Macaca fascicularis: one gene and its partners. The main gene of each other region encodes a partner of the protein of the gene in region 4 in a complex. Links are inferred from orthologs where the notes say so. Each region holds a gene or a part of one and is shown on either strand. Other genes may lie near its edges.

What was found.
Region 1: BUD13 (region 4) and CRIPT share a complex: the UniProt entries of both Homo sapiens proteins name them as parts of the minor spliceosome. The link is inferred for Macaca fascicularis from reciprocal best matches to the Homo sapiens genes BUD13 and CRIPT.
Region 2: BUD13 (region 4) and DHX16 share a complex: the UniProt entries of both Homo sapiens proteins name them as parts of the minor spliceosome. The link is inferred for Macaca fascicularis from reciprocal best matches to the Homo sapiens genes BUD13 and DHX16.
Region 3: BUD13 (region 4) and SNIP1 share a complex: the UniProt entries of both Homo sapiens proteins name them as parts of the minor spliceosome. The link is inferred for Macaca fascicularis from reciprocal best matches to the Homo sapiens genes BUD13 and SNIP1.
Region 5: BUD13 (region 4) and SF3B5 share a complex: the UniProt entries of both Homo sapiens proteins name them as parts of the minor spliceosome. The link is inferred for Macaca fascicularis from reciprocal best matches to the Homo sapiens genes BUD13 and SF3B5.
Region 6: BUD13 (region 4) and SF3B2 share a complex: the UniProt entries of both Homo sapiens proteins name them as parts of the minor spliceosome. The link is inferred for Macaca fascicularis from reciprocal best matches to the Homo sapiens genes BUD13 and SF3B2.
Region 7: BUD13 (region 4) and CWC27 share a complex: the UniProt entries of both Homo sapiens proteins name them as parts of the activated spliceosome. The link is inferred for Macaca fascicularis from reciprocal best matches to the Homo sapiens genes BUD13 and CWC27.

The regions. Positions count from the first base shown.
Region 1 is NC_088387.1:75,424,960-75,428,960, forward strand, and holds the start of CRIPT (cysteine-rich PDZ-binding protein), read right to left. Parts: upstream 2,801-4,001; 5' UTR 2,714-2,800; coding exon 2,698-2,713; intron 1,231-2,697; coding exon 1,165-1,230; intron 372-1,164; coding exon 317-371; intron 1-316. UniProt on the Homo sapiens protein: As a component of the minor spliceosome, involved in the splicing of U12-type introns in pre-mRNAs. Involved in the cytoskeletal anchoring of DLG4 in excitatory synapses.
Region 2 is NC_088378.1:141,982,531-141,986,623, reverse strand, and holds the start of DHX16 (pre-mRNA-splicing factor ATP-dependent RNA helicase DHX16), read right to left. Parts: upstream 2,801-4,093; 5' UTR 2,633-2,800; coding exon 2,426-2,632; intron 2,307-2,425; exon of another isoform or gene 2,251-2,306; intron 1,016-2,250; coding exon 768-1,015; intron 685-767; coding exon 522-684; intron 186-521; coding exon 129-185; intron 1-128. UniProt on the Homo sapiens protein: Required for pre-mRNA splicing as a component of the spliceosome. Contributes to pre-mRNA splicing after spliceosome formation and prior to the first transesterification reaction.
Region 3 is NC_088375.1:197,372,398-197,376,571, reverse strand, and holds the start of SNIP1 (smad nuclear-interacting protein 1), read right to left. Parts: upstream 2,801-4,174; 5' UTR 2,737-2,800; coding exon 2,513-2,736; intron 1,256-2,512; coding exon 1,153-1,255; intron 1-1,152. UniProt on the Homo sapiens protein: Required for pre-mRNA splicing as component of the spliceosome. As a component of the minor spliceosome, involved in the splicing of U12-type introns in pre-mRNAs. Down-regulates NF-kappa-B signaling by competing with RELA for CREBBP/EP300 binding.
Region 4 is NC_088388.1:115,624,520-115,628,631, forward strand, and holds the start of BUD13 (BUD13 homolog), read right to left. Parts: upstream 2,801-4,112; 5' UTR 2,775-2,800; coding exon 2,632-2,774; intron 1,889-2,631; exon of another isoform or gene 1,838-1,888; coding exon of another isoform or gene 1,794-1,837; intron 1-1,793. UniProt on the Homo sapiens protein: Involved in pre-mRNA splicing as component of the activated spliceosome. As a component of the minor spliceosome, involved in the splicing of U12-type introns in pre-mRNAs.
Region 5 is NC_088378.1:48,298,912-48,301,229, reverse strand, and holds SF3B5 (splicing factor 3B subunit 5), read left to right. Parts: upstream 1-1,132; 5' UTR 1,133-1,208; coding exon 1,209-1,469; 3' UTR 1,470-1,818; downstream 1,819-2,318. UniProt on the Homo sapiens protein: Component of the 17S U2 SnRNP complex of the spliceosome, a large ribonucleoprotein complex that removes introns from transcribed pre-mRNAs.
Region 6 is NC_088388.1:8,338,592-8,342,561, forward strand, and holds the start of SF3B2 (splicing factor 3B subunit 2), read right to left. Parts: upstream 2,801-3,970; 5' UTR 2,771-2,800; coding exon 2,638-2,770; intron 2,483-2,637; coding exon 2,436-2,482; intron 2,129-2,435; coding exon 2,051-2,128; intron 2,012-2,050; exon of another isoform or gene 1,929-2,011; intron 1-1,928. UniProt on the Homo sapiens protein: Component of the 17S U2 SnRNP complex of the spliceosome, a large ribonucleoprotein complex that removes introns from transcribed pre-mRNAs.
Region 7 is NC_088380.1:70,698,151-70,701,650, forward strand, and holds part of CWC27 (spliceosome-associated protein CWC27 homolog), read left to right. Parts: intron 1-3,184; coding exon 3,185-3,347; 3' UTR 3,348-3,500. UniProt on the Homo sapiens protein: As part of the spliceosome, plays a role in pre-mRNA splicing. Probable inactive PPIase with no peptidyl-prolyl cis-trans isomerase activity. As a component of the minor spliceosome, involved in the splicing of U12-type introns in pre-mRNAs.

The DNA of each region.
Region 1 (4,001 bases), on a different chromosome or scaffold from region 4:
TCCAAAGCTTACCATCTTTCCACATTTCCCTGCTGTCTCTGATTCATAGGATAATTAAGAAGGAGATAAAATACAAGTCATGTTTTCTGGTGAAACTGTAAGAGAATAACACTAATATCTTCATATATTGATACAGCCAAGGAGGAATAAGGTAAAACCAGCAGGATTGTAACAGATAGCTTGGTTCTGAGTGCTATGAACCACCTACCTTTATGTTTTATTGCAAATGGAATGATGCACATCAAATTCACTCCAGCAGACTTAATACTAAAAGAAAGGAAATTTATATGATCTGTCTATGGATGCTCTTACCCACCTTGCTTTTTTTGAAGTCAAAGCTTTATTTTCATTCAGCTTTCTCCCACCACTTTCTGTATCAGAATAAAAGATATTTTAGTGGGTTATTTCTATACATTTAACATAAAACATTAAGAAGTTCATTCTTTGACTTTCTACCAAAATAGTAGTCTGTATCTAATTTTTAAATCCTCATTTAGTAGGCTATTAAGACACTGCTTAAAAAGAAAACATTTATTAGGGAAACAGTAAAAATTTGTATAAAATACAATCATTTTATTTCTCAGACTCAAGGGAGTACTTTAGGAATGGGTCTATATTTACTCTATATAGTGTAAAATCTAGAAGCCACTACTTCAGTGTCATAGACCTTCAATATAATGAAAATGTTTATTTGTCTACGCTTTGAAAACATACTTTACTATATGTATTTAATAATAATGAAGGTAAATACTTCATTATAAAGATTTAATGATAATGAAGGTAAAATGGGTTAAAGCATTTATTTATTCAAGAATATAAAAATCAGAAGATTTAAAAAAATTTCTCCTCAGAAGAGTGGGGAAATTAAAAACAGACTCTAAATAAGCTGAATCAAATCAAATATTGTGATAATCAAATACTGTGATATTGTCACCACTTGACAATCATTTAATAATTTTGCTATCTCCTGATATTGGGAACCCATACAAGTAACTGAGAACTAAATAAAAGATATTAAATCACTTGGGGACCCAGTATTCTTTAATATTTAATAGATAAAATACTTTGAACATACAACATTTCATTGTACAAATAATGTAAAAGCTAAAATATAATTCACAGTAAGTATTTGGTTAAATTCCTATTTTCTAAAAGAAGAAATACCTGTGGTATTCCTAGCACCATCTTTCCATGTATCTGGAGTGATAACAGTACCAAGTTTCTTTTCACCTGTTAGAACAAGATAGTAAAAGGAAAATTAAAATTTACTATTTCATAAGTGCATTACATTGTGCCTAAGGCTCACAATGGTATCGACTATCAATGCTATTACCATAGGAGCCTGTTAATGCTGAGAAAGCAGCCAGTCAACTGAGACTCATATTAACTGTGGGCAATGAATGACTGACCGTCGGTAAAATTCGCAGGATAATAAGATGGCTTATAATAAGCTTTCACTGTTTGTTTATACTTTTAAAAAATCCAATAAGTCTATTTGTTCCATAAATATTTACTAAGCATCTATGATGTATAAACTATAGAAAGTGCTGAGAAAAAGTGATGAATCAGACAAAATTTTAATGAGATTATAGTATACTAATTTCTTTAACAGCAATCTGTAACCTGGGTTCCCCAGGTGGATCTTAAGAGATATGTGAACAAGGTGGAGTTGTACACAAACCTTTTATATTTTCAGTTTTTTTTCCTGGCAAGAGGCTACAGTTTTCATCAGATTCTCAGAGGGATCACAGACCGTCTCCCCAAAAAGAACCATTCAACCAAAATGTAAGCTAAAAAATAAAAGATATAATAATTGAGAACTAAAGTACTAGGAGAAATTCCAGGCAGGAAAAAATAACCCTGGCTAAGGAAATCCAAGAAAACAAAGTTTGGAGAGAAGGCAAGAGAGAGGATTTGAATATGTGGCAACAGGACTGTGAACAAAAAGGAGTAAAGAGGATGAACGCAAACTAGATAAAGGACACATTCTGAGGAAAGGCATAGAAAGCTTAGAGTACACATGGGCACAAAGAGTATTTTGTTTGGTCAAAGTGTGAAGAGGATGAGGGTCAGTGAAAATGAAGCTGGAAAAATAAGTTAGCGCCTTAGTGTGGAGGGTACTGAACGTCAGGTTCCAAATATAGAATCCCCAAATTATTCTCTGCACACTGAGAGTTTATTAAAGGATTTAAATTAGGGAAATAATAATTTGCACTTACGTTGATGTTCAATTCAAACATCTCTGGGTTTACTCTACGCCATATCCTGGCATAATGACTAATGAGAATGAATAAGGCAAAGTCCTAAGTCTTTGGTTCCAGTGTCTAACATTTGGCAGGAGTACAATACTTGTTACACGAATAAAAAGGAAAGGACAGGAATTGCCAAGAGGGAAAGGTGTCGCTGGGGTTTAACTGAACATTTTTATATGGGAGGGGAGCCGATGAGATCTGGGGCTGGGGGAAGGCAATGGAAATAGAGAGGGAGGTGCAGAACTGAGACCATTCTGAGTACAAAATACATAGGACTGTATGGTCGTTGGGGAGGTGCAAAAATGGTCAAAGGGTAGGGTAGAAAGACAGCGGCTAGAATCAGAGACCTGTGGGCGAAAAAAACAAAGAGAAGGCAAAGTTCCCGGGAGGGCTCAGTTAGATTATCCCAGCCTCCTCCTCCCGCAGAAGCAGCCCCTTAACTCACATTTTTCGCACACCATCCTTCCCCACGACAGTTCCCCTAGCCGCAACAGGAGCAGCAGGAGCCTGAAAACATCAACACTGTAACTGGGAAGTATTCCCCTTCCGGGCTACGTCAATCCACTTCCGGCTTCTAAGCCCACCGCTCCCGCCTACCCCAAACCTGGAAAGCCGCGGGAGGAATGAACGCGAGCGGCTAGGTGGGGCTGCCCCATTTGCCCGCCCCTCCCTTTCTGCGACTGGCTGTTCGGCCGTGGGTGTCCGCCCCACAACCCTGCGTCTGCGCGTGGGCCTGGGCCTCCTGTCGTACCTGATGGTGGGAGGCAGTAGTTCCCCGCTTCCCTTCCGCGGGCGGGAAAGTTAGGTAAGCCTCGCTGGACTTCCCAGGCGCTCTCGCCTCCCGGGGTGCAAGTCACCCCCGCGAATTGCCGAAGCAGCCCTGAGCCTCGGCGCCCCGGCCCGCCAGCTCTCGCCGTCAGCTCGAGCGCCACTCTTCCGGCGTGCCCTGATGGACAGACCCCCTTTCGGATCCGAGTTTTTGCCTCTGTCCCCCAGTTTTTCTTTGTCTCCAACTCCCGAGCTCTTTGATCCTGCTTCTCAGCTGGTTCCTCGCTGCCCACGCTCGCGCCGGCCTAGGGTCGGGCAGAATTCCCAGCGACCAGGGTTGGGGTGGAGCTGCCGGTGGAGGTGCGGCGATGCCCGTGAAGGCTCCTCTGGGGGCCGCTCTGAAGAGCCTTCTCTCCGCTGCGGTGCCTGGGGAAGGTGGGCCGCGTCATGCCCGTGGCACCCCTGCAGGCGCCCTGGGGGCACGCCAGGGCCTAACACGGTGCTGGTTTCCCAGGAGAGTTGGTTTCCCACTTTGCCTACTCTGGTTCCTTCATTCACTCAGCAAACGGTTGAGTTTGGTAACTGCTCACTGTATTACATCCACATCTGATGGCAGCTGCGATTCCGAGGGTGGCTCAGAAAAATGGCTGAAGGGCTATCTGTTGAGAGAATGGATTCCTGATCCCCTTGCCCTCCCTCAATCAGCTTAAGAGAATCTATGGGAAAGTTTACCATTGTCCCTTCTTGCCATCCGTTTGCTTCTTCATGCCTAGTGTATTTCCTTATACCAGAGAGAGAGCTGTAGCGCGTGGGACCTTGGACCACCTCACCTGTTTGCCTTGTTTCCTTATCAGTAAAATATCTGCCTTTGAAAAGCACTGGGTGAATTAAATGAGAGCTATTAGGATAAGGCCCAGGTTCGCCCTTCTGCTTTTCACACTAGCGGGCGCCCCTCCGCGCGCGCGCGCGCCCACGTGTGTG
Region 2 (4,093 bases), on a different chromosome or scaffold from region 4:
AGACCTGACCACTCCATCAGCATCCACACCGTGCTTCCTCTGTATTCTCTCTCCCTATACGTAACCACTCTATCAGACGGTCTTCCCTTTTGTCTTCTGATCTTGGGTCCCTGGGCCCTGGGACTCACCATGGCCTTCCGGTCTTCCTCGGCCATCTTGAGGCGCTTCTGAGCTTCTTCATAAGCCTAGAAAAAAAAAAAACAAGAATAGAGGGGTGTGAGGCCAAAGAGCCCCCACACTGACAGCTGCTCCTCTTTAGAATCACAAGGATCATTCAGATGTACCCTAACACAAAAAATGTCCCCTCTCAGTGAGGGATCTGTATGATTGCAGGTACAGTAGAGTTGCCTTAGCCACAGGATGCACAGGGCTTCTCTCACCTCATCTCTCCCCACAGAGGGGAACATCTCACTAGAGAAAGCCCCTTGTCTTCCCAGAGATCACCATCTCTGCAATCACAGCCAACCTCACATTTCACCCTGGGATCTTGGGGATTTACAGAACGTGCTGCTCCTGTTCACCTTCTTGTCTGACCGCTCCAGGACATTTCGAGTCCGATCCTTGTCCCGCTGTCGAACCCTCTCAGCAAAGGCATCACGCTCCTCCAGGTCCTGAAGGCGCTCACGCTCTGTCCGTTCCCACTCATCTTCTGACTCTGGCTTCTCTGTCTGCTGTTTACTCCCCCTGCAGCCCATCCAGGGGATTAAATAAGGGCATTGAGCACACTTCAGCCTGCCCCATCCTCCCTCGCCCTGCTTCTGACTTACCCTGTTTTCTTCTTCCCTTTCTCAGAAGCCTCTTCCTCCTCTTCTTCCTCCTCTTCCTCACGCTTCTTCCTGAGGTGTTTCCGCTTTTTACGTTTCTTCTGGAGGCTGCTTCCAGCCCTACTCACAGTCTCCTCACTGCTCTCTTCACTGTCTTCCAACAACCTATAAGATCGGTTCTTCTCCAGCAGGGCTCGGGCCTCTCGCTCTGCTGCCCGCGCTGGCTTTTCTACCACTGCCTTTCGTGGTACCTGTCAGTAGAGGGGAAGATAAGGAGGTCTGAGCAACTCCTGATCTCTGCCCTCCCACTTAGCTCTAGCTCTGTTCCTAATTTAAGCAATTACTTAGTCTCCCCCCGCCCGCCGAGATGGAGTCTTGGTCTGTCACCCGGAGCTGGAGTGCAATGGTGTGATCTCGGCTCACTTCAACCTCCACCTCCTAGGTTCAAGCAATTCTCCTGCCTCAGCCTCCCAAGTAGCTGGGATTACAGGCGCCTGCCACCACACCTGACTAATTTCTGTATTTTTAGTAGAGATGAGGTTTCACCATGTTGGCCAGGTTGGTCTCAAACTCCTGACCTCATGATCCAGTTGCCTGGGCCTCCCAAAGTGCTGGGATTACAGGCGTGAGCCACCGCACCCGGGCACAATTACTTAGTTTTAAACCAGCTAACCAGCCTTCATTCTGTCTTCCTCATGGCTTCACCCCATGTTTATCATCCTGAATGGGGCCCACAGCTTTTTGGCTTTTTTTACAGACAGGGTTTCACTCTGTCCCTCTTGGGCTCAAGTGATCCTCCCACCTCAGGCTCCTAAGTAGCTGGAAACACAGGTGCACACTACAACGCCCAATTAATTTTTAAATTTTTTGTAGGGAGGTTTCACTATGTTGCCCAGGCTGGTCTCGAACTCCTGGGCTCAAATGATCCTCCTGCCTCAGCCTTCTGGGGTGCTGGGATTACAGGTGTGAGCCACTGCACCGGGCCTCCTCTGTTAATTAAACGGCTGAAAGGAAGTTCAGAAGCTGAGGGGGGACGGGCAAGGTGGCTCACGCCTGTAATCCCAGCACTTTGCGGGGCTGAGAGAGGAGGACTGCTTGAGCTGAGGAGTTAGAGACCAGCCTGCGCAACACACCAAGGCCTCGTCTCTAAAAATAAAAATAAAAATAAAAGATATTAGCCGGGGGTGGTGGCGCATGCCCATAGTCCCAGCTACTGGGGAAGATGAGATGGGAGGGTCGCTTCAGCCAGGGAGATCGACGCTGTAGTGAGCCGTGATCTTATGACCGCACTCCAGCCTGGGCGACAGGGCGAGCGAGGCTGTGTCTCTCAAAAAAAAAAAAAAAAAAAAAAGGAAAGAAAGAAAGAAAAAGAAAGAAATGCAGAAACTAAGATCCCTACTGAATCGCAATCTGCATTTTAACAAGGGCCCTGGATGCATGTTAAGAGTTCGAAAAACACCGTTCTATTGCGTTTAACCCGACACACCTAAGCCCTCCTCAATCTTCTCCACTGAGCTGGGCGTCCAGCAGCTAGCACAGTACCTAGGCGACAACGGACAAAGAATAAGTGCTTGTGAACTGAGCTTTCTTAACTCCTCGATGGACCGTTAGGCCAGCCTCATCGGGACAAATCACAGGACCCCTCCCCACCCTGCCGACACCTTGTTCCAGAGTCTCAGGGCGAAGTCCCGGGCCGGTCCACTGAGATCCAAAGTATCAGTGTCTCGTAGGCGCTGCACGAACTCCTCGGCCGACGTGCAGCGCTGTGCAGTACCGATCAGGAACTGGGCGACGTGCCGCTCGCTCAGCCCCAACACCGAGTGCAGCTCGTCCTGAACCCAGCGCTCCAGCCCCGCCGGCGTCGCCATGGCGACCCACGCTCCCTGCTCCCAGCCCTGAAGCGTCGGGCAGCCCCGTTCACTGCTGGGCCGGTCGGAGGCCTGGAGCCCTCGGCTGGAGCCTCAGCTTCGCAAGGCGGCTACCTTGGGACCTCTAGGATCAATTTCCGACATCCCAAAGCCGTCGTCCGGTACCGCAAAGCCCGGAAGGGGCTGCACTTTTTCCGGCCTCTAAGCACTACGGTGGCCGAGCGAGTTCAAACCTCGCGGAACCATGCCTGAAAGTTCGGAGTAATTCTTTTTTCTTCATTTCCGCCTCTATCCAGTTTCTCTGACGCCCCCTGATGGTCAGTTCGTGAGTGCTTCCCTAACGCATTCATTCAACAAGTGAAATCAATTTAATGGAGGCCTAATGTGTGCTCATTGCTTTCCGTCGCTGGGATCTAGCAGAGGACAAATCAAAAGTTCCTTACCAAATTTACATTTTGCGGTGGGGGAGGGACAGGATACATAATAAATAAAGTATGGAAGTTTTATAGAGCCAAAAACTCTACAAAGTAAGGGACAACCGAAATTCTATTTCAGATTGGAAGATGGGGTCCATGCTCATGAAGCATATTAGCCGTGTTGGCCGGGCGCGGTGGCTCACGCCTGTAATCCCAGCACTTTGGGAAGCCAAGACGGGCAGATCACTTGAGGTCAGGAGTTCGAGGCCAGCCTGGCCAAGATGGCTAAACCCTGTCTCTACTAAAAATATAAAAATTAGCCGGGTGTGGTGGCGTGCGCCTGCAGCCCCAGGTACTCGGGAGGCTGAGGCAGGAGAATCGTTTGTACCTGCGAAGCGGAGCTTGCAGTGAACCGAGATCCCACCACTGCACTCCAGCCTGAGCGACAGAGGAAGACTCTGTCTCAAACAAACAAAAAAGTGACCTTTGCTAGGATTGGTTTGCCTGCAGCAGGAGTGAAGACAGGTCAGGCATAAGGGAAGACCTCTAGGCAGGAAGAAACTGGGGAACTGGGGAAAATTGTTAAAGACAAAATCTCCAAACTAAGGAACAGGCAAACTGTTTTCTGCATTTTTGCTAACATCTTGAGAAAATCACTGGTGGCTGCTTATTTAAAAGTAAGCAAGGCCAGGTGCAGTGGCTCTTCCTATAATCCCAGCACTTTGGGAGGCTGAGGCAGGAGGATCTCTTGAGAACAGGGGTTTGAGACCAGCCTGGGCAACATGGTGAGACCCTGCCATCTCTACAAAAAATTAGCCAGGTGTGGAGGTGTGCATCTGTAGTCCCAGCTACTCTGGAGGCTGAGACAAGAGAATCTTTTATTTTTTATTTTTATTTTTTTGGAGACGGAGTCTTGCTCTGTTGCCCAGACTGGAGTGCAGAGGCACGATCTTGGCTCACTGCAACCTCCGCCTCCCAGGTTCAAGTGATTCTCCTGCCTCAGCCTCTGGAGTAGCTGGGATTACAGGCGCAATAGGCACGTGCC
Region 3 (4,174 bases), on a different chromosome or scaffold from region 4:
CCAAGTACCTCAGAATGTATTAATAACTGTTTTTGGAGATAAGGTCTTTAAAGAGCTGATTAAGTTAAAAAATGAGGGCAGGGCCCTAATCCAATATGGCTGAGAAAAGACACCAGGACAGAAAAAAGATCATTTAAGGATACAGCAAAGAGGTAGCCATCTGCAAGCCAAGGAAAGAGGATTTTTTTCAGGAGAATCCAAACCTGCTAACACCCTAATTTTTGACTTTTAGCCCCAGAACTACAGGAAAATGAATTTCTGTTGTTTAAGCCACCTACTCTATGGTATTTCATTATGGTGGCCCTAGGAAACTAATACAGCCACTCTGGAAAACAGTCTGGCAATTTCTTAAAAGAATTAAACCTGCAACTACCGTACAATCCAGCAATTGCACTCCAGAGAAATGAACTCTTATGTTCACATAAAAACCTGTACACAAATGTGTATATAGCAGCTTTATGTGTAATAGCCAAAAAATGGAAACAACCCAGATGTTCTTTAATGAGTAAGTGGCTAAATCCATGCCATATGGATACCACTCAGCAATGAAATAGAACAAACTACTGAGAGCTGCAACCTGAATCAATCTCCAAAGGATTCTGCTGAGTGAGAAAAGACAATCCTAAAGGTTACATACTGTATGATTCCACTTACATAACATTCTTGAAATGACAGAATTATAGAAATGAAGAACAGATTAGAAGTTGACAGAAGTTAAGGAAGGATAAAAGTGGGAGATAAGTGTGTGTGGCTACAAAAGGACAACATGAGGTATTCCTTGTGGTGAAGGAAATGTTATCTTGACTATATCGATGTCAATATTCTGATGATGATATTGTACCACAGTTCTATTATGAATAGATGCTACCACTGGGAGAAACCAGGAAGAGTATATCTCCCTGAATTATTTCTGACAACCATATGTGAACCAATAATAATCTCAAAATAAAAAGTTTAATTTAAGCAAACAAGCAGAAAAAAGAAATACACCCAGTTTTCAGAAAAGCCCATTGGAGGTACAGGTAGAGATGTAGGCGAGTGTGCGTGCACACACGCGCACACACACAATACACACACACACAGCCCTCTTTAGCTGTGATAGGAAAAGGCTCTCAATTTGGACCCAACATCAAAACACCCCAATCCACTTACCTGCTTCACTTTGACTGTTGAGTAGTGAGGACTTCGGTTTCTCTTACTCCGAGGAGACTTGCTTCTTCTCCCTGAGGACTTGTTTTTCTTTTTGGGTGGGGACCTATACAGAGCATGGTACACAGGATTTTATCGCAATTTCCCTTCCCCCATAAAAATTAGCTTCCAGTATCAGGCTTACCTACTAACACAAACACTGCTTTTGTGAAGGTATCTGCCAATCACATTAAAGGAGTCACGAGGTTCATTTTCCTAGCTCTAACGTCTCCCTTGCATTCCATACTCACATAGACAACTGTCTACTGAACCTTCTCACTTAGGTAACAAAACTCTTAATTTCCAACCCTTCAAAAACCTTTCCTCTCCTACTCCTTGCCATCTTGCTAACTGGCATCACCATCCGGAAGTCACCCTTGATTCTTTATCCCTCACTACCAACACCCCTAGCATCAGGAACAATCCCTCCATCCTGTGGTTCTACTTCCTCCCTATGCCATCTCATTCCTACCACCCACCTTCTTGACCACTATACTCCACCGACACTGGCTTTTTCCCATTTCAATCATAATTCATTCTACTTCAAGTTCTTTGCAGATGTTGTTTCCTCTGCCTGGATCTTTAAGAGGTTGAATCATTCCTATCACTCAGGTCTGGACTCAAATGGCACCTCTTTAAAGAGGCCTCCTCCCTCTTCTCTCCAATCTCTATCACATTACTGTTATAACCTATCAATAATACTTGTTATTGAAACTTTTTTTTTTTTTTAATCATCTGTCTCAGGGTTAGAGCACGGCCAATTTGGCACTGGTGAAGATCATCTAACTGAATCGCCCTTGCAGCCCCAATACCTAGGGCAGTCTTTCACACTTAAAATAGGCACTCAGTAAAACTATGGTGAATGAATGCATAAATAAATGAGTCTAGCAAGAAGTAACTTTTTTTATTTTTATTTTTCCAGTTTCTGTTAGGTAGCTCGCCTAGACCTCGATGTGAAAACCTTTCTGGCAGGTAACTGGAAAGACAAGGCCCACACTCCATTTGTGGGCGGGATGGGGAAAATCTCATTCCAATTTAACAGATTATCAGTGCTATCTGTTGGGCTACACTCTTCGAAGTGCTGGGGACACAAGAATGAAGGAGTGGGATCCTGCCGGTGTGTCATTAGGCGTTGAACACCGAGCTATAAGGCAAGTGACAGAGCAAGCATAACACAAGCACGACTGGATCACTCTCAACAGTCCCTCAGGATTAAGTCCGGGCTGCTGCGCCCAGCATTCAAAACCTGTTTCGGATGCTAGCCCTGCCCGCCTTTCTGAATGAGCCCAACCCAACGTCCATCCTGGGCTGCTCCCCCACTTACCGGCTAACTCCTCGGGCTCGGTTCCCGCGGTGGCCCGGGCGGCCCGGCTCGCTGGTCGGCGGAGACGGGCTACCGCCGGAGTGGTCCGGACGGCGGTGGGCGGGAGGTGCGACTTCTGGGCTGAGACGCTCCTGCTTCACCACCACCCCCGCCGGCAGCACCATGTCCCCGTCCCGGTGTCTTCGCCGGCTCCCTCGCTCCCGTTCGCTCTTCACCGCCTTCATTCTGTGATTTTGGCTGAGCGAAAGAAAACAGATCCGTTGAGCTCCTCTAGCTGAAGGAAATGACGAGTTTGACTCCTGGACTTCCGCTTCCGGGGTGCCCAACCTCCCAGAAATCCTCGCGGCAGATATTAAACACGTGACTACTCCCTAGTGGGAGTAGCCACAGTGACCGGCTTGGGTGGCGGGAGTTTCAAGTTTCAAAAACAAACTTCTGGCTGGGCGTGGTGACTCTCGCCTGTAGTCCCAGAACTTTGGGAGGCCGAGGCTGGCGGATCACCTGAAGTCAAGAGTTCGAGAACAGCCTGGCCAACATGGCAAAACCTCGTCTCTACTAAAAATACAAAAATTAGCCAGGTGTGGTGGCGCGCGCCTGTAATCCCAGCTACTCGGGAGAATGAGGCAAGATAATCGCTTGAACCCGGGAGGCGCAGGTTGCAGTGAGCGCAGATCGCACCACTGCACTCCAGCCTGGGCGACAGAGCGAGATGTCTCAAAAACAAACAAACAACAATAACAACAAAAAACTGGGAAAAAGCAAACCTCTCAAGACTGTTTGTTGCCACATTACTGGTAATTACAAAACGTGGAAACAATGTAAATACCCAGCAGTAGGGAAGTTAGCCAAATTAATGGGTGTTATGTGGCCATTAGTAAACCATTTACAAACTTTAAAAACCCTGACTTGTTAACGACAAAGCAGGATACAAAATTGTGCGCAAACCATAATTACATTTACATTTGGAAATAGAAGGGAGGAAGACATGGAAATGCAATCAGAGATGATAACCCGTGGGCAAATCATTAGCTTTTCCTCTTCTATTTCCTGAACTTTTTGCAATGCTGTTGGGGCTCAGAAATCGAAACCCCAAAATATGGCGCACTGACATGCCGAACTGAAGAAGCCTCAATGTTCCTTCCCGGTGCCCACCATCTCTCCCAAAGCGCAGGTCTTTATCTGCCTAAGATACAGACTACCAAAAGGAATAATTGTTTCTTTCTTCTCCTCCCAAGAATGTAATCACACCTGACCAGAGACCGTTATGCTGTCAAAAGTAGCTATTTACAGCCGAACACGGAGGCTGCAGCCTGTAATTCCGGCCCTTTGGGAGGCCAAGGCAGGAAAAACGCTTGAAGCCAGGAGTTCCAGACCAACCTGCCCAACATAGCAAGACTCTGTCTCTACAAAAATTAAATTTTGCAGGGGCTGGTGGCTCGTGCCTGTGGTCCCAGCAGAGATAGGAGGATCACTTGAGCCCAGGAGTTGGAGGCTGCAGTGAGCCGTGATGGCACCACTGCACTCCAGCCAGGGCTACAGAGTGAGACCCTGTCTTCAAAAAAACCAAACCAAAACAAAAAAACAACAAAAAACTATTTACAAATGTATCTCTGTTCCCTTATTAATTCATTCTGCCTAGTAATCCCTGAACAGAATTCCTCC
Region 4 (4,112 bases):
TGAGACAGGGTCTCACACTGTTGCCCAGGCTGGAGTGCAGGGGCACCATCATGGCTCCCTGCAGCTTTGACTTCCTGGGGTTAAGTTATTCTCTCCACTCAGTCTCCCAAGTAGCTGAGACTACAGGCATGTGCCACTGTGCCTGACTTTTTTTTTTTTTAATTTTTTGTAGAAACAGGGTTTAACCATGTTGCCCAGACTGGTCCCAAACTCCTATATGCAAGCAATCCACCCGCCTTGGCCTCCCAAAGTGCTAGGAAACTCTTCCTCATTCCAGGAAACTCTTCCTCATTTTTCAGGTCCTAACACAAATTTAACTTCCTTTGGCAAACTTTTTTTTTTTTTTTTTTTGAGACGGAGTCTTGCTCTGTCGCCCAGGTTGGAGTGCAGTGGCACAATCTCAGCTCACTGCAAGCTCCGCCTCCCGGGATCGTGCCATTCTCCTGCCTCAGCCTCCCGAGTAGCTGGGACTACAGGCGCCTGCCACTATGCCCGGCTAATTTTTTGTATTTTTTTAGTACAGATGGGGTTTCACTGTGTTAGCCAGGATGGTCTTGATCTCCTGACCTCATGATCCGCCCGCCTCGGCCTCCCAAAGTGCTGGGATTACAGGCGAGAGCCATCGCACCCAGTCTGGCAAACTTTTCTTGACTGCTTCCCGGATTCCCCCACTATCTCACACTCACTCAAGACCACGGACCCGGCCGGGCCCAGTGGCTCACGCCTGTAATCCCAACACTTGGAGGCTGAGGCAGGTGGATCATGAGGTCAGGAGATCGAGACCAACCTGGCTAACATGGTGAAACCCTGTCTCTACTAAAAATACAAAAAATTAGCCAGGTGTGGTGGCGGGTGCCTGTAGTCCCAGCTACTTGGGAGGCTGAGGCAGGAGAATGGCGTGAACCCTGTAGTTGGAGCTTGCAGTGAGCTGAGATCATGCCACTGCACTCCAGCCTGGGGGACAGAGTGAGACTCTGTCTCAAAAAAAAAAAAAAAAAAAAAAGACTAAGAACTCTTGTTAAAAACTCTTGGAATACTTTCATTGCATTTATCATAAAGAAAATACACCAATTAGTTGTGTAATTAGTTGCTTAAAGCCTGTATTCCCACTAAACTATAAGCTCCACAAGAACAGGGACTATGTTTCTTTTTGTTCACAGAGGCATCCTCAGTAACTGGAATACAGTGTATTCAATAAATGCTTGTTACATGGATAAACTATAGTTGAGCCCCAATAATAACCATGACTGCCATGATGTGAAGTTATTCAAAAAGCCAGGGTCACTTAATGCAATCCCTCTAATCACAACCACCACTTCATAAAAGCATTATTATTCAGTATTATTCCCATTTTAAAGATAAGGAAACTGCAGTTCAGTGAGATGAAACACTTTGCCCAAGGGTACACAGCCTATAAAGTGGCACAGCTAGGATTCGAACTCTGACCAGTGCTGCTCCAACACTCAAGCTACTTTCATCACATGGCACTGCCTCCAAAGGATCCACACAAGTCAGCGAAGCAGAAAGACGAGGACAATAATAAGGCAAGCACCAAACCAGAAAACAACATGGACTAGTTCTTTAGAACAATGTGACTTCACTGGGTATCTTAGTGCCTTAGGGTTACTGTAACAAAGTACCACAAAATTGCGTGGCATAAAACAACAGAAACTCTCACAGTTCTGGAAGCTAGCAATCTGAAATCCAGGTGTCTGCAAGGCCATCCTCCCTGCAAAGTCGGTAGGGAAGGATCTTTCCTTGCCTCTCCCAGCTTCTGGTAGCCCCAGGCATACCTTGGCTTTTGGCAACATAAATCCAATCCAATCTCAGCCTTCATCTAGACATGGTCGTTTTTCCTTTGTTGCTGTGTCTGTATCCATACTTCCCTCTTTTTAAAAGGAAAACAGTCATTTTGTATTTGGCACCCACCTTAATCAAGTATGACTTCATCTTAACTGATTACATCTCCAAAGACCCTATTTCTAAATGTCACATTCTGTGGTTCTGGGTGGAAAACGATTTGGTAGGGCCCACTATATTGGGCCACAAAGTTTTCCCATTTGAAAATAATACCCAGTTCATGGTACTGTTGTAAGGCTTAAACAAACTTATGTTTAAATTTCTTATAATGTTGCCTGGCAAGAAAAGTATAATTATGTAAATGTTAACTTCTCTTGTTAGTAGGACTATTACTAAGAGTAACAGGAGGTGATCCAAGGTCTCTGATTCAGAACCAAGTCCTTGGGATTTGGGAATCCCCACAGGCAGGTACCGGGCCCTAAAGATTCAAGCACAGAGGCTTTGAATCCGCTCCATTATTCTCGGGGCGCAATATTCATTCTCCATGGGAGAGGACGGAAGTCTACCAAGGCGGGAAAAGAGTAATCAAAGTTACAGCCCGGCTCTAACGCACTGACGCTACTGCTCAGAGGCTCGAGGTGTAAGCGGGGCGGCAGAGGCAATGCGGGGCCTCAAGCGATGTGAGTGGGGCCCTGGGCATGAGCAGGGGTCGGCGGAGAAGCCGGGAGACCCGCCAAGAGGGAAGGAGTCGCCAGGCGACCGAGGGCGGAGTTGGGAAGGGTGAGGGGTGGCGAGTCGTTGCAGGCCCCGCCCCGGCCGGTACCAACTCACCCCTTGCCGCCGGCCCCGCCAGGCTTCGGCCGCTTTTTGCGACGCTTGCGACCGGACTCAGACCCCCGGTCGACGCCGGCATCTGCCCCGGACAAGTAACGCTTCAGATACTCGGCCTTGGAAAGCGGCGGAGCTGCCGCCATGGCAGCGGCGAGGGCAGAGACGGGTCGGCGCTGGGGACAAAATTCCTCAACGCGTAACGGACGCCAGCCACCCGAGGGGGCGGGGCCAGGGCCGGAAGTGGCGGAGAGTGCTGAGAACTGCGCGGCTGGCAGGTGCCCTCGCGGGGGATGCGCTCACCTTCGGGGCGCTCCACAGCCCTGGGACGACGCCACCAGGTTTCTTCTCTTCATCCACCCACCCACCCATCCATCCAACCGCAGCAAGCGCTGTTCTGTGAGGCCACAACCTGACCCAAAAGACCCCGCCCCCAGAGGTTACCTAAACTGCAGAGCACGGGCAAGAAAGTGGAGGGCCACAGGCTGCAGCGTAGCCGAGTTTGTTTTTTGTTTTTTGTTTTTTTTTTGAGACGGAGTCTCGCTCTGCCGCCCAGGCTGAAGTGCAGTGGCCGGATCTCAGCTCACTGCAAGCTCCGCCTCCCGGGTTCTCGCCACTCTCCTGCCTCAGCCTCCCGAGTAGCTGGGACTACAGGCGCTGGTTCCATAGCTGGCTAGCTGTACTACCTCGGGCAAGTTATCACAAAGCGGGGAGAATCCCGGCACCTAACTCGGAATGGTCACAGGCTGAGATAACACTACTGTGTGAAGTGCGCAGAGCAGTGTTGGGCATATGGTGGGCATATGGTCATCGGAACTATGTTCGTTATTTTTATAAGTATCTTCAAGTGGGGAGAATCTGCTCCACTAGGCTTCCAGGTACCTACCGTCTGAGAAGGGAAGCCAGGAAGTGCAAACCAACATAATTACTATGAAAAACGTAGTTTCTAAGACCTGTATAACTCTTCTGGTGTTATATTACAAGTAGCTCGCAGTTATCTTTTGAAGGAAACTAACATCTTGACAATGAAAAGGACCTGGATCTATTTTTAGCATAGCAAAAGAGAGAAACCAGAGAGAATGAATTCTAATACTCAAGTTTTGGGGGGGAAGAAAAGACTTTATTCTTGGCAGGGGTTTTAGAGCTTTACCTGAATTATCTCATTTAACCCTCACAATTCTCAAATCGTTTCAATATCACATTTTACAGATAAGAACTGAAGCTTGGCAAGATTTAAGAAGTTGCTCAACTTCACATAGCCAGAACATGACTCTTGGGAGTAGAGGCTAGCAAAGTGGGGTGCAAGAGGTCATCCAAATTTCTTGAAATATCTTTTTACCTTATCATATGTTAGATTGTCACTTTTTTATCGTTTTCTTCCCAGCTTTATTAAGGTTATTTGACAAAAATTATATATATTCAAGGTGTACAATGTGATGATTGGATATAATTATACATTGTGTAATGATTACCAAAATCAAATT
Region 5 (2,318 bases), on a different chromosome or scaffold from region 4:
TTAAAAAGTCTACACTTCAGTACAGACTGACTTTTTCCCCAAATATTTTCAATCGGGTCGGTTGAATCCACAAAACCCACTGAATGGAAGGGCCAAGTAGGGTGCAGTGAGGCCTTGGAGGAAGGATATCAAAATAAGTGGCTAGAGAGGAAGGAGGAGCTTGAGGTGGAAGCCGGAATGTGTGGGAATTGGTGCTGTACTTGCTCACCAAGCACCCTGGTTAGAGCTGAAATAACTCTTTTATGCCACAGACTCCTAAGAGACATAGCTGGGACCAGAACTTGTGCCTGCCGACTTCTGGGAAATCCATCCCTGGTTGTGAAGGGATGGCTGTGCTACCATGATAGCTTTGGAAAACAGGGAGAGTTTATTTTCGGGGCTGCTTGTAGTCCAGTCCTACTTGGGTTTCCCATTTCCCATCAGCCCCAAGCCACCCACGGATGCTCCCCACCTCCCAGACATCACCCTCCACTAGGTCCCCAGATCACTTTTAAAACGCGACCAGGGGCCTGGCGCAGTGGCTCACGCCTGTAATCCCAGCATTTTGGAAGTCCGAGGAGGGAGGATCACGAAATCAGGAGTTCGAGATCAGCCAGGCAAAGACAGTGAAACCCCATCTCTACTAAAAATACAAAAAAAAAAAAAAAAAAAAAAAAAAAAAAATTGGCCTGGCGTGGTGGTGTGCGCCTGTAATCCCAGCTACTGGAGAGGCTGAGGCAGGAGAATCGCGTGAACCCAGGAGGCGTTAAGTTGCAGTGAATCGAGATCGCGCCATTACACTGCAGTCCCGGTAACAGTGCGAGACTCTGTCTCAAACAACAAAACGAGACCAGGAGTTCCAGAAGCCTACGAGCACGAACTCCCAAGACCACAAGTCCCAGCATGCAAGGCTCCCTGTTGGAAAAGGGCTTCCCATAGCCACCAAGTGGACCATCATGCAAAGCTCTCTGACGGGGCGGGGCTCTCTACAGGGGCGACACACTTGTGGCGTCGCCTCGGCAACTCCAATTCCGTGACAGAATGTGCTTCCGCTTCCGCCTTTGAGCCCTATGAGCGAGACTTACGCTACTTAGTCGTCGTGACGCCATTCTTCTGCGACGGCGCGGGCCGGGAGCTTCCGCACGGTGGCCTCACTCCCGCGTGAAACGCCAGAGCGGCGATTTGTTGTCTGCGTCCTCTGTCCTGGGAACTAAGGGGAAAGCGGCGAGATGACGGACCGCTACACCATCCACAGCCAGCTGGAGCACCTGCAGTCCAAGTACATCGGCACGGGCCACGCCGACACCACCAAGTGGGAGTGGCTGGTGAACCAACACCGCGACTCGTACTGCTCCTACATGGGCCACTTCGACCTTCTCAACTACTTCGCCATTGCAGAGAATGAGAGCAAAGCGCGAGTCCGCTTCAATTTGATGGAGAAGATGCTTCAGCCTTGTGGACCGCCAGCCGACAAGCCCGAGGAGAACTGAGACTCTGCCTTACCACCACTGTGCGGGGCACCTCTCCCAGTGTTCCTCAGGTTGGCCAATCCCTTCGACTATTTCTGCCTCCAAAGGACCGGCTCTCCATGGCTCCTGCGTCTGGTACTTCCGCGTACAGAAGTGCTTGCCCGGGGAATCCCGCCTGACCTGCCTTCATGTGAACCCTTTGGAATAGCACTGGGAGACCAGCAGAACCCCTGAGAACTGTGTTGGTGAAGAGGGCCTAGAGCCGGCAAGCGTTTGAGAAGAGGGCGTGGCGCTGGAATGAGATGGGATTTGGCGTCTCATTTTTGGCTAATTGATTGTCATTGGCTTTTTCCATAAAGTTTAGAAATCATTCACTCTCTTGGTGTGAACTTCCTGTGTTAGGGTGGAGGGCTCCTGAAAGACCCGAGCGGGAAATGGGTCGGGGGAGGGAGTGCATGCCAGTGTCCATGATCAGGTACTTAAATCCACCCTGTCTACCATTATAATTAATTCCCCGACTGCCACTTCTCCCAAGAGCGTTATTTTCAGGCCCACAATGCCTTCAGTATTGAAGTTTGTGGTTATTGTATCCCATTTTCTTTTTCTCCCGTTTTAAAAGTCTTTGCAGTCTTTGCTGTCATTGTCCTCCTTAGCCTCTTTAAAATGCATCCTTTCTTTTTCTTGGGAATTTGTGGCCATGTCTCCAGAAATGACAAGCTGGCAAGTGAGTTCATCCTTTCTATATTCAACAAATATTTGTTGAGCTCTATGTGACAGGCATTTTCCCATGGTCTTGAGGCTTACATTATGCTGGTGGTGGAGAAAGGAGGTCAAACACTGTAGACGTAATAAGTAAATGTTAGAAGATGC
Region 6 (3,970 bases), about 110 Mb from region 4:
ATCATAAAATTAGGAAACATTTATCTACTCATCTGCACATATCTGGGGGATCTACTTTGAGTCAGGAGCTGGGATTCTAAGTCAAATGACACATAGTTCCTAATTCGTAAGAGAGAATGCTCCATAGCCCTATAAAGATATGAGAATGTTAACTTCCGGCACCAACCACAATAAGCTATCCACTCTCTCCAGAAAGATATCCTGAATACAGACTCTGCATACAATTCCAGGAGACTCAAAGACACCTCTGAGGCCATCTAGGGACTCCTCATTCTACACACAGAGATCAATAGATCCTAGGTCAGAGCCACTGCTTTAGAGAAAAAGAAGCAAATCCTGGATCAGAAGCAACATGGAAATTGAGAGGACTTAAATAAACAGGAACCACTGTACCAGGGCAATGCAAACCCCAATGACTGCTAAATGCAAGGAGTATGAAATCAAATCAGGGAGCTCTCAATGTCTCACAAAAGAACATGGGAACTGTTCCTGGGGCAGGCAAAGAAGAGGGTGATTGCTTCCAGCTGGGTAGGGACAAGTCGGGCTTCCTTGTATTCAAGCTGTTTTTTTTTTTTTGTTTTTTTTTGTTTGTTTGTTTGTTTTTTTTTGAGATAGAGTCTGTCACCCAGGCTGGAACGCAATGGTGCAATCTCAGCTCACTGCAACCTTTGCTTTCCAGGTTCAAGCAATTCTCGTGCTTCAGCCTCCCAAGTAGCTGGGATTACAGGCGCCTGCCACGATGCCCGGCTAATTTTTGTATTTTTAGGAAAGACGAGGTTTCACTATGTTGGCCAGGCTGGTCTCGAACTCATGACCTCAAGTGATTGCCCGCCTCGGCCTCCCAAAGTGCTGGGATTACAGGCGTGAGCCACCATGCCCTGCCTCTCTCTCTTTTTTTTTTTTTTTTTTGAGACAGTCTTGCTCTATCGCCCAGGCTGGAGTGCAGTGGCCTGATCTCGGCTCACTGGCTCACTGCAACCTCCGCCTCCTGGGTTCAAGAGATTCTCCTGCCTCAGCCTCCCAAGTAGCTGGGATTACAGACATGTGCCACCACGCCCAGCTAATTTTTGTATTTTTAGTAGAGACAGTTTCACCATGTTGGCCAGGCTGGTTTCAAACTCCTGATCACAGGCGATTCACCCGCCTTGGCCTCCCAAAGTGCTGAGATTACAGACATGAGCCACCATCCCCTGCCTCTTTTTTTTCCCCCTATTTTTTTATTTTATTTTATTTTATTGTAAGTTCTGGGGCACACGTGCAGGATGTGCAGGTTTGTTACATTGGTAAATGTGTGCCATGGTGGTTTGCTGCACCTATCAACCCACTGCCTAGGTATTAATTCTGGCGTGCATTTGCTATTTTTCCTGACAATCTCCCAGCCCCTGCCCCATCACCCCCCAACCTTTTTTTTTCTTTTTTTTTCAGAGAAGTAAAGTCTCATTCTGTCACCCAGGATGGAGTACATGGAGTACAGTGGCGCAACCAGAGCTCATTGCAGCCTTGAACCTCAGGGCTCAAGCAATCCTTGAGCCTCAGCTTAGAGAGTAGCTTGGACTTTATAGGCATGTGCTGCCGTGCCCAGCTAATTTTTAAAAATTTTTTGTAGTAACAAGAGTCTCACTGTGTTGCCCAGGCTGGTCTCGAACCCTGGCTTCAAGTGATCCTCCCATCTAAGCATCCCAAAGTGGTGGGATTACGGGCATGTGCCACTGCACCTGGCCACAAGCTGAATCTTGAATGACAGGTAGAATTTGGAGAAGCAGACAGTGGAAAAGGAGGCAAGTATCAGCATCAAAGAGAGAACTGAAGAGCTCACAATTCTGTCATGGCAGTACCTCCTTGCCCAGTCAGTCAGTTGCATCTCAAGTACACTGCAATTAAGAGGAAGGGCTACCCTGAACAGATGGAATCTTTCTATTCCCCACTCAGGTCAGGCGAGATGTGCAAGGGTGTGACGTCTCACACATGCACGCGAACACCGAATCATCATGCTCATGAACTACAAAAGGATCAGCAGATAGAATCTTAAAAAATGGAAGAACCTCCCTACCTGCGCTGACATGGGAGGTGGAGCGGCTTTGTCCCCATCTTCCCCTCTCAAAACCGGCCGATTCAGCACGATGCCAGTCTGCAAAAGAGAAAGGACTCTAGGTCAGTCCAAAACTAGCTGTTTCACTAATCGACGATCTCTCCCAATTCATTTAACAAAACGTATCCAGTGCCTGTCTGCCAGCGCTCCGGCTGGGCACTGAAGAGGACCAAGATGGATACAAGAAATTACAACTAAGCTGGCAAAGGCAAGAACAAGCCAAAAAGGGCAAGCCTCCGCCTTGCTGTGCCAAGATAAAGAAAGAATGAAGACCGAGCCGTGATGGGGTATATAAGGTCTCCTGGAGAAGCTCGGCCTATCCTGACGTCCCGCCGCCAACACCTACCTGGCGGGTGTAGGTCTGCAGCCGCTCCACCAGCTCCTCGCGATTACCTGCGGGGCAAAGTACACGATCAATGGAGCAGGCAAGCCCGGCCAGGTCAGACCCCAGCTGCCCGCCTCCGCCCCTCGCGCCCGGGTCTCCCGGGTAACCAGGCTCCGCTTCTCCGCAGGCCCGTAAAGGTCCCTCGACTTTCTGTGTTCCTCACCCTGGATCGGAGCTCCGATCTCTGCCAACTTGGCCTGAAGCTCCTGGGCAGCCCAGGCGCCATAGTGGCCTGGAGGTGGCGGCGGCGGCAGCTGCAATTCCGCTTTGGGAGGCTCGGGATGCTCGGTCGCCATCTTGGCCGCAGCAAGGCGCGCGACCAACCCGGAAGCTCGGGCCGGCCTCTGGGCCCACTTTCCGGAACTTCCGGCGGCGCCGTACGCCACGTCCTCTCTGGTTGGGAGGCGACGCGCACGCAGGCCCACCCGCTGCGGTACGCTAGGCGACGGGATTCGCCGCAGACGCCCCTTTCTTCAGTGGCCCCTCGGCCGTCTGGTCGCTAGGCCTCCTGGGAGTTGTAGTGCGCAGGTCTCGGTCTCTGCGGGCCCTGCGCCAGGCTACGGCCCAGAAGGCCGGCGGCGGGCCGGAGGGCGGGGCTGCGGGGAAGGCTGGCCCTGCCCGGAGGGAGTGTTTTCTGCGCCTCACCTGCGGGAGCGCAGGCTGTCAAGCCTTCCGGCCCGGCTCCCCGGTCAGAGCCTCGGACTCTTACGCTCCCAGGGAGTCCCGAGAGACTCATTTCCCCGGCGGCTCCGCGTTGCGGGCGCCAAGCGGGAGGCTGGAGCCAATGCCCGGGATAAAACAGTGTCTGATTGTCTGCCCGCCCACCCCCGGCCCAGGCCCGGATGAATGGGCTGAAAGGGGATCCGAGCCAGGAGAGGAGCGGGCCCGCCCGGGCTGAGCTCCAGCTGCCGACCTGGGGGAAGGGCGACACTAAAGCCCCCTTTTCCACCTTCCAAGCCGGCTCAAATGTCGTCTTCACTAAGCTTTCTCCCGCTTTCCTTTCCTTTCTTAGAGTTCCCATAATACATTCGAATCTCCACCGTTTGATAAGTCTTTCTTGCCCTTTCTTCCTACCTGCATCCCAAAAATGTGAGCAGGGACTTGATCTTTTTCAGTCTCGCATCACCTGCCGTTCAAGAGGCGCCCAATAAATGATTACTGGGAAAAAGGAACAATGTTTCTGGTGACAGTATTTGTGTCTTTTAGTCTCAAAAATAAACTCAGGCCCCTTTTCCCTCAGCCGCACCTGCACTGGGGGCCCACCTTGCCGCCCACTCCCCACCCCAACTCCCCGTGGTCTTTGGGGACAGAGGCAGATACTGGCAGGGATTCTTGCCTGCCTAGCATCCACCTCTCGCTGTCCCACACCATCAATTCAATTTCTCTCCCCACCTCTGCCACTAGCTCTGCCCTGTCACTAACAGCCAGGCTCACTGTGTGTGTTTTTATGTGTATTGAGTACGGGAATGGGGAGACTTCAGTGAAATGGTCTCATT
Region 7 (3,500 bases), on a different chromosome or scaffold from region 4:
TGTAAGCTGATAGCCCTTTCTTTCCTCTGGGTTTAGGTTTGTTATTAATCAAAATGTTGGACTTGCTTAGTGCAGTGGTGTGTGAAACAAACAGTTGAAAAAGACAGCTCCTTTAACTTACAGCTCTCTGTTTTTTTTCAAATTTGTAAGGAAATCTGTTTCTTCTTGTGGACTTTGTGCTCTTATTCATGTGTCTAGAGATCATTTTTTATAGCAGAGCCGACTAAATCCAATAGTTGCAAAATTCTCTCATGGCATAGAAAGGAAAAAGGTGCCGTTTTATATTCTTAATTGACAAATTCTGATCAAGTCATTTTTGAAACATGGAGAATCCCTACTAGAAATGGATATTACAAAAAACCATCTGTATTTCTGGGCAGAGAACAGGATAATTTTTTAAATAGAAGAATATGTATATGAAGAGGTATTAATAAGACAGTAAGTTTGTTTTCTCATATCAATCCAGGAGTATTGATGAAATTGTTTTAAAGGGCATATGATTCCAGCTACACTGGTGTTGGTTTAGACATCAACACAGCCAGGCCGTAAGCACTTGGAAAGCTGCTGCTAAGCATGTACTGAAGTGCAGCAGAGGGGTCTAGACGACCCCTGATGTGTGGTAAAGGACCTTTAACAGGAGTCCCACCATTCTGCACCTACTTCTCATCAGTGGTAATATTACAATTTTAAATGGTGCATATTATGGGGGATGCAACAAAGATTGTAAGAAGTGTTGAAGAAAAAGGCTACCTCTCAATAACTGGACGAAAAAAGGCTTAATTTATTACTTAAGTAAAGAGGCGCTGTGCTTTTTAGGCACAGTGTCTCCAAGCAAAGCAGGCTGCAAATCTTACATAGTGTTTTGGGGTCAGGAATTGTTTAGGGGCAGCTGTCAGCCTCAAAAGCCCCATTATTCGAAAGAGACTCTTGTTGACTGGCTGGCTTTCAGAAGCACAATCACTGGAGCGAGTCTGCAACTGATGGGCCAAATTTCAAAAGCATGTAGCTATCACTGGTTAATTGGCTTTCAGTGGTGTATTTACTGAAGTGAGTTGTCACTGATTATTTAGACCTTGGCGAGATAGCATTAATTGCATAAATCTGGTTTAATTATTTTTCCAACTGGTTCTAGTGGCTTACTTAATACCATGGCTGTCGAACAGTCAGCGTTTTTCTGGGAGTTAGAGATTGTCTTACTTTCAGAAGCTAATACCTAAAAGCTGTAGGAAATTGAAAACACTAGAAAATTAGATTTTGCAACGACTGTACAATACATTTTCTAAATAAGGGTGTCCGCTAAAGGAATGGAAGTATAAAAAGTCAGCAACTCCACATGTTCAGGTATTGAGATCAGTTATGAAATTTGATACAAATAATGTATCATTAATAATATAGTTCCAAGCATGGTGGCACATGCTTGTCATCCCAGCTCCTTGGGAGGCTGAGGCAAGGTGTTCACTTGAGCCCAGGAGTTCGAGACCATCGAACATAGCAAGATCTCATCTCAAAAATAATAATAATAATAATAATGAAGTATAAAAATGTGAATGTGACTTATTCAGTAAATTAAAGTGGATTCTAGATCATCCATATATATCATTTCTACTTATTGCGTTCCAGTAAGTTTTCTCAGGTGAGACAAAAGAAGGTAGAAATGGTACATAAGCCTCAACTCACCAGCCCTGGTGAGCAGCAGCTACTAAACCCTTAGTAACGATGATATCACTAGAATTGTGACATTTTGTTTCCCTCCTAAAATCTTTTTAGGATTCTTCAAAAATCTAGGTATACCCATGGGAATTTGCCACACAAGTAAATTTCAGTCATTATTTGTGCTGCTGTAGAGAGAAAAGAGTGAGGGATCTTCACTACTGCCTACCTACTACCCAGATCTCTGCTTATATGGGGGAAAAGATATTAGGGTTTCATCTGAAAGTTACAACAGGCATGTAAGAAGTATTAATCCTACAGTTTAACCGTTTCTGCTGTGATGAAGAAAAGTGTATAGGGTATAACGGTAGGAAAAGACTTAAGACTTTGGTTTTATTTTTATAAAAATTGAACTTCTCGCCAGGCGCAGTGGCTCACACCTGTAATCCCAGCACTTTGGGAGGCCAAGGCAGGCAGATCACAAGATCAGAAGTTCGAGACCAGCCTGGTCAGCATGGTGAAACCCCGTCTCTACTAAAAATACAAAAAATGAGCCAGGCATGGTGGCACATCTCTGTAGTCCCAGCTACTTGGGAGGCTGAGGCAGGAGAATCACTTGAACCCAGGAGGTGGAGGTTGCAGTGAGCCGAGATCATGCCACTGCACTCCAGCCTGGGCAACAAAGTGAGACACCATCTCAAAAAAAAAAAAAAATTGAACTTTTCTCTTTCCAAATTCATTCAACTGTTCTGAAGTCTGCTCTTTTGACTTCTCTGTTTATTGCTGGCACCTCATATGGGGCACAGCTAATTACTAACATATTTAACTGATCCTAAAGATAGCTAGCTTATGACCTCTCAGGATTCCAGCATATGCTGATACCTTAAGACCAGTAAGCTTTTAATGAAGAGAGCAGGATTGGTTAGATTTGTTGTAATCAACAATAGAAGAAATTAGTCCATAGAGTTATGTCAAAAGTTTAGTTTCCTTTTGTATAAAGAAAATATTTTTTAAACCAGCAATTCCCCAGGAAAGAGAGTCATAACACCATTTGAACATCATTTTTAAATTATCTTAATGTATTCCCTACTCTTGACCCATGTAACTGTTGAAATTTTTAAAAATCAGACAGGGCTGGCTTATTGTCTTGAGTTTTGCTCTGCAACCTGACTCACTCTGGCTAAAGGAATGTGTTCTTTAAAGGAAGCAGACAGTGTCCTCTGAGTTTACTTTGAGGAACACTTCTGTATAGAACTCTTTTAACCTCCCATCAGGAAAGAAACCTCAAGTAAAGACTGAGGCAAAGAGATTCTCTACTAGAAATATAAACCAGCAGAACAAACTCCAGACATGTTTTTCAAATTTAAGAGTTTTCTGAGAAGTTGGTTTCCATGTGGTGTAAGCACCAGTAAACAACAAACCCATCTTGGTGTTCCGTACGCTTATGGTTCATTATGTCAATGATAGTAGAGTATAGAATTTCTACTTTAAGTTCCCATGCAAGAATCACTGAACTATCTCTCTCCCTCTTTAGGATGTCACATGTACTTCAGTTTGAGGATAAAAGCAGAAAAGTGAAAGATGCAAGCATGCAAGACTCAGATACATTTGAAATCTATGATCCTCGGAATCCAGTGAATAAAAGAAGGAGGGAAGAAAGCAAAAAGCTGATGAGAGAGAAAAAAGAAAGAAGATAAAATGAGAATAATGATAACCAGAACTTGCTGGAAATGTGCCTGCAATGGCCTTGTAACAGCCATTGTTCCCAACAGCATCACTTAGGGGTGTGAAAAGAAGTATTTTTGAACCTGTTGTCTGGTTTTGAAAAACAATTATCTTGTTTTGCAAAT